Rattus norvegicus: one gene and its partners. The protein of the gene in region 2 interacts with the protein of the main gene of each other region in a pairwise test. Links are inferred from orthologs where the notes say so. Each region holds a gene or a part of one and is shown on either strand. Other genes may lie near its edges. The genes, in order: Bag3, Dazap2 and Batf2.

What was found.
Region 1: the proteins of Dazap2 (region 2) and Bag3 interact in binary tests that used the Homo sapiens proteins (3 or more experiments, as listed by UniProt). The two-hybrid records come from large-scale screens. The link is inferred for Rattus norvegicus from reciprocal best matches to the Homo sapiens genes DAZAP2 and BAG3.
Region 3: the proteins of Dazap2 (region 2) and Batf2 interact in binary tests that used the Homo sapiens proteins (3 or more experiments, as listed by UniProt). The two-hybrid records come from large-scale screens. The link is inferred for Rattus norvegicus from reciprocal best matches to the Homo sapiens genes DAZAP2 and BATF2.

Annotation. Positions count from the first base shown.
Region 1 is NC_086019.1:192,546,821-192,550,471, reverse strand, and holds part of Bag3 (BAG family molecular chaperone regulator 3), read right to left. Parts: intron 292-3,651; coding exon 1-291. UniProt on the Homo sapiens protein: Co-chaperone and adapter protein that connects different classes of molecular chaperones including heat shock proteins 70 (HSP70s), e.g. HSPA1A/HSP70 or HSPA8/HSC70, and small heat shock proteins (sHSPs), e.g. HSPB8.
Region 2 is NC_086025.1:133,592,546-133,596,296, reverse strand, and holds the start of Dazap2 (DAZ-associated protein 2), read right to left. Parts: upstream 2,761-3,751; 5' UTR 2,651-2,760; intron 2,596-2,650; exon of another isoform or gene 2,527-2,595; 5' UTR 2,362-2,526; coding exon 2,349-2,361; intron 1,201-2,348; coding exon 1,082-1,200; intron 397-1,081; coding exon 151-396; intron 1-150. UniProt on the Homo sapiens protein: In unstressed cells, promotes SIAH1-mediated polyubiquitination and degradation of the serine/threonine-protein kinase HIPK2, probably by acting as a loading factor that potentiates complex formation between HIPK2 and ubiquitin ligase SIAH1.
Region 3 is NC_086019.1:212,903,163-212,906,216, reverse strand, and holds the end of Batf2 (basic leucine zipper transcriptional factor ATF-like 2), read right to left. Parts: intron 1,741-3,054; coding exon 1,060-1,740; 3' UTR 567-1,059; downstream 1-566.

The DNA of each region.
Region 1 (3,651 bases), on a different chromosome or scaffold from region 2:
TGCCGGCACCTGTCCACACTGTTTATCTGTCTGAGTGGTTTCTGTCACGCCCCCACGCAAAGGAGACTGGGACCTCTGCGGGGCGGCGGCTGCTGCCTCGGTTCGAAATCGCTGCACCCCAGGCTGGGAGTAGGCATGGAAAAGGTGCGGCTGCCGGTTTTCCGAGCCTTCATGGTGGACGGGAATGGGAATGTAACCTGGTCGGAGCTGGGGGTATATGGGGTGGCCTTCCCTAGCGGGCAGCAGCCTGGAGCCATCACGGGAAGGGCCGTTGGCAGATGATGCAGTTTCCTAACGTGAAGGAAGGAGAAACAAAGACTGGTTAAAAACAGGGCTGAGAAGGAGGGTGGTGCTGAGGGGCTCTGATCTTCCTGAATGACTTGGGCCTCACAGTTCAACCAAGCTAGCTGAGCACAGGGGACCAGAACTCTTCACTGTCTCTGCTTTCTCCAGATTTCCAGTCTACTGTGTGAGCGACACTTTAAGATTTAGGGGGACAGGGAATGGTGGTCATGCCTTTAATCCCAGGACTGAGAAGTAGAAGCGGGTGGGTTTCTGTGACTCTGAGGCCGTTCTGGTCTACAAAGTGAGTTCCAGGCTGGCTGGTCAGGGTTATATAATAAAACCTGTCGCCGGGCACACCAAGAAGTCAAAGTATCAGTTTGAAGTACAAGAGAGGTTTGCTTCCCACAGTGGTGAGACAGGTGTTTCTTTTTTCTGGTTGACGGCAGTGTAGACAGCAGACAGTGGCCAATGGCCCCTGCACATCTTCAGAGACTGAAGCCAGTGATCCCTGGAAGACTCAACTCCAGTTACTAAACGTCAGCAGCAAACTTCCTTCTGGAAAAGCATGTGTGTTTGTGTGCTGTGTGTGTGTTGTCTGTGCTCCGTTCTGTGTGTTCTATGTGCTCTGTGTGTGTGTGTGTGTGTGTGTGTGTGTGTGTGTGTGTGTGTGTGTGTGAGTGCGGCGCGAGCATGTGTGCGCACGCACGCTGTAGCTGTCTGTGCTGTGTTGTGTGTGTTTGAGTGCTCTGTTCTGTGTTGTGTATGCTCTGTGTGTGTTGTCTGTGCCCTGTTTTGTGTGTTGTATGTGCTTTGTGTGTGTGTGTCATTTATGTGCTATGTGTGTGCTGTGTGTGTTGTCTGTGCCCTGTTTTGTGTGTTGTATGTGCTTTGTGTGTGTGTGTCATTTATGTGCTATGTGTGTGCTGTGTGTGTTGTCTGTGCCCTGTTTTGTGTGTTGTATGTGCTTTCTGGGTGCTCTGTTCTCTGTGTTGTGCTCTCTCTCTTCTCTCTCTCTCTCTCTCTCTCTCTCTCTCTCTCTCTCTGTGTGTGTGTGTGTGTGTGTGTGTGTGTGTGTGTGTGTGTGTGTGTGTTTCAGAGGCTAGCTCCTTGGAATTATTTTTAGAACAAGCTGCAAGAAAGGGAGATACCCTGGAATGCAGAAGTGGTGTAAGAAGAGAACAAAGCCCAGGGATTACGCGTGCCAGTCTTAGACGGCCAACTCCTAAGAGTCTCCGCCTGGCTAAACTTTACAGCAAGGCTACTGGGCTTTCTCCTAGGCCCATCTGTGTGTTTCCTTGTAAAATCCAGCTATTGCAAAAGAGCAGCTAAATCAAGTCAACCAGAACCCCTTATTCCAAGCCCACCATCATGGACACCCCAGCTCTATCCACCTCCCATCCTCCCCAGATGTCTGTCCACCGCCCTTGGCTTGTCAGAATCCCGTTAGGTTAGCTTGGTTAGAACCCCTTTTGCCTTTGATCAGTTTTTCCCTTTAAATACTATCCACACGTCCCACACTGTGCTTTGTCTGTGCTCAACAGGGAGCTGAGCTCCTCTCCTTACACTAGCAGCAGTATTCTGTCTCAGTGGTTCCAGTAAACTTTTCCTTGACTCGAAGGAAGAGTCACAGAGCCTCTCCCCCTTCAATACAATAAACCCTGTTTAGGCCAAGAACAGTTGGGGGGTCCTTCTTGTGTCCTCTCATGAAGTTGTTCCTTTAGAGGCCTGGCTATTTTGGGACCCTTGAGAAGGCCAAGTTCCAGATGTACCTCTGGGCAGATCTTATTTCAGACACCGAGGCCAGTCAGCCATTCACTGGGCAATGACATATCTCTCCAACCAGAGGCTGTGCACTCAGCCTCCAACTGTCTCCTGAACAGGAGTCCTCTCACAGACGAGGGGATATCTGACTAGGCTGGTGTTTAGGAGAGTAAGCCTTCTTTAGTGAGGTAGCTCTCCAAATGGCAAACAAATGTCAAAAGCTGGGAATCTGTGAGTCCAGAGTGTTAATTTCTCCAGCTGCTGAACTGGGCAAAGGTTAAGGACAGACCCTGAGAGTTGGTTTGCATTTTGAGTGAAAATAATCATTAATTCTGCCATGTTTTATATTTATGTATAGGTCTGGACACCAGGTGGCTGGCCCTGCAATGCAACCCTTTCAGGCTTATGTGCTGCCTACCTCCTGCTGAGACCTCACCCCTGGAGGGCCTCCAAAACACAGGAAAGGCAAGGGTGTCACTGTGTCCTTGGGGAGAGGGGCAGACAGGCACTTGGTACTCTCAGATTAGAATGTCCACGTGCTCAGGACATCAGCATTATTTTAGCTTGCTCAACTCTCAGGTCACCCAAGAGCTGGGAGTGGATCCAGGCCTCACACAGAGAAAAGAAACCCAGTTCTAGCCATGAGACGTGCACCATAGGGAAATGGCAGGAGACAACAAAGAATCCTGTCATAACATATGTTCTACGCAATGTGCCTACACTTGGGGACAGGGCCCTTCTTTCCAGTTGAAATCAGATTTTGCACAGTGCTGTCATATGTTTTGGGGGAACTGCCTGGAGTTTGCTGTTTGTTCTGGCTATGAACAAAGCCTCAGCCACTACCTACTCTTCAGAGCTGGGCACTTAGTAGGTCTGAGCTAGCCTCACCTACAGTTCCCGGCGAACATCAAGCTACTACTCAGACAGGCCCAGGGGTCATCAAACCAACAAGATATGAGCCTTGCAAATAAGGAGTTTATAAGACAAGGTAAGGGGTGGGGACGTAGCTCACTTGGTAGACTGCGCACCTAGCATGCAAGGACATCCTGGGTCCAACTCCAACTATCGTATGAAACCAGACACAGTGGTGCACATGTACATCCCAGCACTTAGTACGTAGCAGCCGGAGGATCACAAGTTCAAGGTTATCTCCAGCTACATACTGAGTTTGAGGTCAGCCTGGACTTCATGAGACCCTGTTCAAAAACTAGACAAGTCAATGCCTGGGACAAACAGGAAACACCTGAAAAGCGGGGGTGGCTGAGGTACAAGGAATATGGGGGACTGTCCCTCAGGGGAGGCTAACCCAGAGGACCCAAGCTTATTTCTACTACCATTAATTAACAGTGGGCATGGATAATCCCTTACCCCTATAAACCTTCATTTCCTTTTCCATAAAACAAAACAGGCCACAAGCACCCTGTAGAACCATGGGGAGGCTGTTTGTGACAGGGTCTCACATGTAGCCCAGGCTGACCTCAAATTTCTGATCTCCTTGCTTGAGCCACCAGGGTACAGAATTTCAGGTGTGACTCCAGGCCTGACTTTCTGATTTTTTTTTTCCATTTAAAAAAAATGTTTCAGAATTTATACTTCTCGCATGAA
Region 2 (3,751 bases):
CTGATTGGCCCAGCCACATTTCTGTCATGAGAGGGCAGCAGCTGTGCCAGTCCTGACTACTACTACCCTGGGATGGTAGGAGAATGAGTATGAAGTCATTTCAGACGGTTCAAGTGCACGAGGGCTGAGCTCTTGGTTAGGCATACTCACAGGAATGCTGCCAGTGGTGGCACCAGCTCCAAATCTGGCACCTGCATCGTACCCTCCTTCCACCAGCACTGCCGAGCCAGGTGGATAGATGGGACCAACTGGGTAATAAGCCATGGGGATCGTGGAGCCTAAAGGCCCAACAGCCACAGACTGGGCCATAGGCAGATACAACGAGGCGCCAGGAAATGCAGCTGACATGGTGGGGACTGTGGCAGCCCCTGGATGAACAAAGCTTGGACGATAGAGCTAAAAGAAGCAGAAGAGAAGGCAAAATATTTCTGTGACACTGGTATTTGAAATTCCTCTAAGTATTGCTGAGACCATCTCCTGTACTTCAGGCTAGCCTGCAAGAATGTAGGAGTGGATGACCTTCAACTCCTGACTCTCCTGCCTTGACCTCTTGACTGATGGAAATAAAAGCCTGCACCACCAAATCCAGCTCACATTGGGCTGGAGACCAAATCCAGGGCTTGGTGCATGCTAAGCAAGCACTCTACCAAATCAACTACATCCCCAGCCCCTTGTTTTGTTTTGGAAATGGGGTTTGGTTCTATAGCCCAAGACAGTCTTGACCTCAAGCTCCTCCTGCCTGAGCCTTCCGTGTGCTGAGACTACTGGTCTTACCACCACGCATGGCTCATGAGTCCATTCTCAGTTCTTGTGTGTGTGGATCACACTGGTTACTGTCACTGGCACACAGTTTCTGGGTCATTTGCATCCACAGCTACTACTGGGCTCAAGGGACCCAAACTCAGCCTAACTCAGCATGTCAAATAACAAGCAGATAATGCGTTCAATTCCAATGGTAATTATTAACTTATGTTTTAGACGGTTCATAGAGCATTCTCTGCTTCTGAATTTGAAGATTTAACAATGGGGGAGGGGTCCAAGAGTGTATTCAAATAGTTAAAAGTCTAGCAAAGTGCAGTACCTCTGAGTATGCAGGTGGAGCATCAGTATAGGGTGGAGCCTGAGGAAGATGTAAGGTCTGAGGATATACTGGATTCCCAGGAGGCTGCACAGGGTAGGTAGGCTGTGTTGGATATTGACCTGGAATACAAAAGGGGAAGAGAGATGTTGTCTATCAAATTAGGGAGGTGGCAAATAGGAAAGATGCTCCTGACAAAATGCCACTCTTCCTGAGGACCCAAGTTCTGTTCCCAGCATCCACATCTGACACAACCTCTTTTCAACTCTAGCTTCTGTCTTTGTGGGCACCTACCCTCACATTCACAGACAATAAAAAAAATTTGTAAAACGGGCAGTTAACTTGGTGAGCTCAAGCAGAAGAATTGCAAACAGATTGCCCCACAGGGCCTTAGCTCTTAGAGCCAAGAAAATAAAAGATTGTCTCTGCACCCTCACAGTGGAAGGTGCTGGGTTCTGACTGGGCAGAAGGCGCTGTTCCCACTAGCATACTGATGGAGGAATCAAGTGTAACTTGGCCCCGTTCCCTCCCAAATAAAGGACAGGTCTGAGAACCCGTGCCGGGGATTCTGGATTGCTGGTGTTTTGGGGGGACTTCTAGTCCGGGTAGTCTCCCACGGACTGTGCGGTAACCAGTGCAGACTCTGTGGAACCCACGGTTCTGCGTGTTACCTCACGGGTTGGTTCCTACTCAAGGTCGACTTCCAAAGAGTGAGTGAATGGAAGTTAACCATGAGAAGGGCGGCGGCTGGGGGCGGGAGGTAAACGCGACCATGGTCTGACAAACATTAGCACAGGCACGACTATAAATCCTGGCCCTGAGGAGGGAGCGCGAAAAGTCGAAGGCAGGCGGGAAAGGATCCTTGAAGGCCGGGACTGGGCAGCAGAGCCGGCACCTCACGAGTTAAGCTCGGCCAAGGCCTGTTGTTCCGAAGCGCGGCGCCCCGCCTCTGCCGGTCCTCCATTGGCCTACCCAAATCCCTGCTCTAGCTCCCCATTCGCTCCAGCCGGTGTCAGTCACGGAAAAACACCCCCACCTCACACACTGGAGCCCGCGGCTCCAAACTGCGCCACAGAGTTTATGGGGCCGGGGCCCGGAGAGCCGAGTTGCTGCGGTGTGTGGGGGAGGGGGGGCGGACACGTCAGGTGCGGCCCCGCTCCGCGGCCTGCTGAGGAGAGCGGCCCTGACCGCCCCGAGCCCGCCGCCCCCGGGCCCACTCGACCCGAACCCGCCCGCGTCCCCGACGACCTCCGCCGCTTCCCGGCCTTGCCTTTGCTGTTCATGGTGGCTCTAATCCACTTCCACTCGGCGTCGCGGACGGTTATTTTTCTCGTCCTCTTCCTGTTCGGAGTCACTTCCGTGTCACGTGACGCCCGTCCACTCTGCGTCAGTCGATGCCCGAGTGCACTGCCGCCGGAAACCCCGCCCCCTCGCAGGCCCGCCAGTCGCTGCAAGGAGGGCGCTTACAGCCCCGCCTTTCTCGGGTGCCCCGCCCTCCCTGCGCGCTCTGCTCTCACCTCGCGCAGCTCCTTCCCGCGCGGCCCCGCCCTCCCTGCGCGGTTTCCCCCTCACCTCGCGCTTTAGGCTCAACTCATGCCCTGCCCTTCCTGCGTGGCTCCGCCCTCCTCGCGCTCCCCGGGTTCCCCGCTCTTCCTGCGCGGCCTCGCCTCACCCGGTGCCCGCTATCCTCTGCGTGGCCCCGCCCTCCTCGCCCACACCGCTCTCCCGCGCGGCCCCGCCCAAACCGCGCTCCCCTCCCTCACCGCATGCCCCGCCCTCCCTGCGTGACTCCGCCCTCCCTGAGTGGTCCCGCCCTCACCCCAAGCTCCTCATTCCTGCGTGACTCCGCCCTCCCCACGCTCCCCGGGGTCCCCGCTCTCCCTGCGCGGCCCCACCTCACCCCGTGCCCCTCATACCTGCGTGGCCCCGCCCTGACCGCGCTCCCCGCCCTCATCGTGTAGCCCCGCCCTCCTTGCCCTCCCTGCGTGGCCCCGCCCTCACCGCGCACCTCCTCCTCACCGCGAGCCCTTCCTCCCCGCATGCCCCGCCTTCACCAGTGCCCCGCCCACCCCTCACACCGGGCCCTGAAGTTCGTAGAGGGCTTGTCTTAGGGCGGCGCCCTTGCTCTGAGCCACCTCTGGACCTCAGATCCTAGCCTGTCCCGCGTTCCGGTTCTTCCAGGCCTCCTATTGACGGTCCAGCGCCCGGGGTCGGTGACCTTGCCCCCGCGCCCGGATCCGTGCGGAGGTAGACCGTGTCCCCGCGCCCTGCTTGGCGCCCTGATACAAACCATGACACCGCATCAAGCTCCTGCCCTGAGATGGACCGTGCCCCGCGCAGGCTGACCCTGGCCTGGCACGTCCTAAGGGGGCCTGTAGTCTCCTACAGACGTTGTGTGTGCCTTAGCCCACTCCCAGTTGTCCTGAAGGGTAGAGGCGACGTCTCTTAGGACCGTGATTACACTTTTCCCGTTTCCTCATGGGCACGCACAGAGTGAGGAACCGACGCAGCTGTCTGCAGAAGTTGTGTTGTGCGCGCTCAAGGAGACGGAGAGGCTCTGGAGCGAGAGGCCCTCGGTGAACGGATTCTGGATTCGTCCAACACCAAGAAGGCCTTGCTTGTGTGTCAGGTGACTATCACAGTTTGCAAGGCGTCCTGTAAATGCAGTTTCAT
Region 3 (3,054 bases), on a different chromosome or scaffold from region 2:
AAGGCAGTTTATCCACTGAGCAATCACCCAGCCTACTCTTTGTTTTTGAAGACCCCATGGTTTTACCAGTTAAGAGTGTATGCGCCTGGGAATTGTCTCAGGGCTAACACCACTTGCTCTTGCAGAGGACCTAGGTTCAATTCTGAGCACCCACCTGGTGGCTCAAACCATTTGTAACTCTATTCCCAGGAGATCTGATGACCTTTTCTGACCAAGTATGCATGCGGTGCGTGCGCGCGCGCGCGCGCGCACGCACGCACACACACACACACACACACACACACACACACACACACAGGCAAAACCATTCATACACATAATTTTGTTGGCTTTTTGTTTTTTGAGACAGAGTCTCTCCATACCACCCTGGCTGGCATGGAGTGATGTGGATGAGGCAGTCCTGGAACTCACAGAGATGCCTCTGCCTCTGTCTCCTGAGTGCTGGGATTGAAGAAGCGCACCACTACGCTCAGTTCGTTCGTTTGTACATATATATATATATATATATATATATACATATTTTTTAAGCCAAGAGTGTAACCAGTCTCCAACAACCTGGCAAAGCAAAGAGGTGGGGAAAACTGTATTTACCATCCTATGTGCCGAGATGTGTGCTCTGATGCAGGAGTGGGTCCACTTCTGACACACCGTCTCACTCAGTTCCATGTGTGAAAACCTGGTGAAGAGCTCAAGGCACTTGGGGCTGCTGTGAATGACCACCCTTTCAGAGATCTTACTTACTCTCCTAGCTGTCATGGCCCCAGTAGTCCCAAGAGACATGAAGGAGCCATTTTGGGAGAGCCCGACGGTAGTGTACAGGTACTGTGCAGAGTTGGGAATGCTGCCAAGGACACAGACCGTGCTCCAGTCAGGTTCAAGGTTCTTGCACTTGGTCCTCCCATCATCCTTTGTGGTGGTGAGGGGCAGGATGGCTTTGTGTGGTCCACAGTGGTAGGCAGGCACTCAGTAGTAACTCAGGAAGAATGGAAATGGAGGAGCTGCTTGGGTGCTCAGGCTACCTCAGGAACCCAGGTAAGGCAGCCCCTCTCTAGACATAGGCTAGAAGTGGACTTTTGCAGAAGAGAGCAGGGGGAAGGCTGTGAGGGCTTGTGGGCTAGGGTCCACAGGTGACTTCTGCCAATGAGTCGGGGAGCCAGACTGTGTAGGCAAATGCTCTCCGTTCTGTGGACGCTCTGGTCCTAGAGCAGCTGGAGAGTCGGAGGATGCCAGCCTCCCACTGGTGGGCTGCTCCAGCCTGAGGCGCTGTGGAGAGACCAGCTGGTCTGGGGGACTGGGTATGAGGGCATCAAACTTAGAGAAAGACCCCAGCCGGCTGGAACCAGATGATAATGCAGACAGGGCAGGGCTGGGGGATAGCTGGGCTAGAGGTGTCCTCACCATGAGAGGGTCCGAGGACAGTGAGGGCAGGGGGAAAGGGAGGAGGCCAGGAGACTCATGATAGCATGGGCCTGGAGAGAGCTGCTGGGCTCGGGGAGAGGAGCCAGGAGTCTGGAACAGTTGTTCCTGGCAGCCATGGTATCCATGAGGGGCAGGTTGTCCTGAGAGTTGCTTGGCCTGGACTGGGCATCCAGAGGGCAGCAGAGCAGGGCATGGACCACAGCCCACTCCGCACAGTCGTTCATGCAGATGCAGTGTCCGGCCCCATCTTGCCAGCTCAGACTGCAAGGCCTGGATCTCCTTCCGAAGGGCGTGGTTTTGTTTCTCCAAGGACTCGTGCTGCTGGAGGAGAAACGGGTGGCAGGGAGGGATGTCAGCATCAGGACCACCCTATCTGGGGTTCTCACTGCTGTAGGATACAAATATCCAGATAGAAGCTCTTGGCTGTGGTACTCTACCCCACATCCCCACTGAGCTGTGACCTTGCCACAAAAGCCCAGTATGGCTCTTCTGGGAAGCACCATTTCTCACCAGGGATCTCAACCTGGCTTCGAATTGCCCTATCCCTAACCCAACACTTCATTGGCCCATTCAGTCACAGTATCCTTGTTTGATGGATTTGGACTGTATCTTTGGTTGGGGAGGGGCCACTATAAACAAATAAGGAGGTAACAGGAAGACACTGGGTATCTTCCTCTCTTGCTCTCTGCCTCATATTCCTTTGAGTCTGGATCTCTCCAGAACCCTGAAGCTGGACGTTTTAGCCAGCAAGCTCCTGGGATGTGCTTATCTCTGCCTCTAATGACACACCCAGCCTTTTTAAGATGGTATTAGAGATCAAAGCTGCAAAGCATGATGGGAGGGCTTGCAAAACCCGAGAGGCTGAGCTTTGATCTTTTGCTGTGTATTGTGATGCTAAATTCTGCCCCTAACTCCCCACCCACCTTGGGTGCCTCCAGGGACAAGACCCAAGTGAGGCTATGTGACCTTGTCCCCCAAGTTATCCCTGATTGGTGAATAAAGATGCTACAGCCTGTAGCTGGACAGAATTGAGACAGGCAGGGTTTGGTGTTCGGGGCTTGGGCTCTGAGGACCACAAGGAGGAGAGAGAGAAGGTGGAGAGAGCAGAAGACACCATGGGGTAAGAAATTCCAAAACATGACCATGATGTCTGGCCAATTGGCATTAATAGCAGCCCAGGTGGAACACAGCAACATGTAACTCTGGTTTATTGCTAGGAAATTAGACGAAATACCCTAGAGGGAAGATATCTGCCCAGCTCTACGCTCCTTAAGGTTTATTATAAATGTAAAGGTTTTGTGTCTTTTATCCAGAAACTGAATGGTCAAACGCAGGGTAGAAACCTCCGGATTGAGATCACTTTCAGTAGCAAGGGTTCTTACCTATCAAAGTAGACCTGGCCTCCCGGTTCTCCCAGGCCTCAGGCCCTACCAGGCACTGCCTGCCCTGAACTTTCCAGCCCAGGGGCTAGGCTGCCCTTCCCCCTAGAGCCTCTTCCCTAAATAATCCAGATATTTGGTCTCCTCCCTCCTTCCTTCTCTCTCCTCTCTGTGAGTACACTTTCTGTTTCTACGGCCCCTCCCCCACCATGGTGACTTCCCTGGTCTCTGTCCTTGGGGCCACTGAACTCAACCA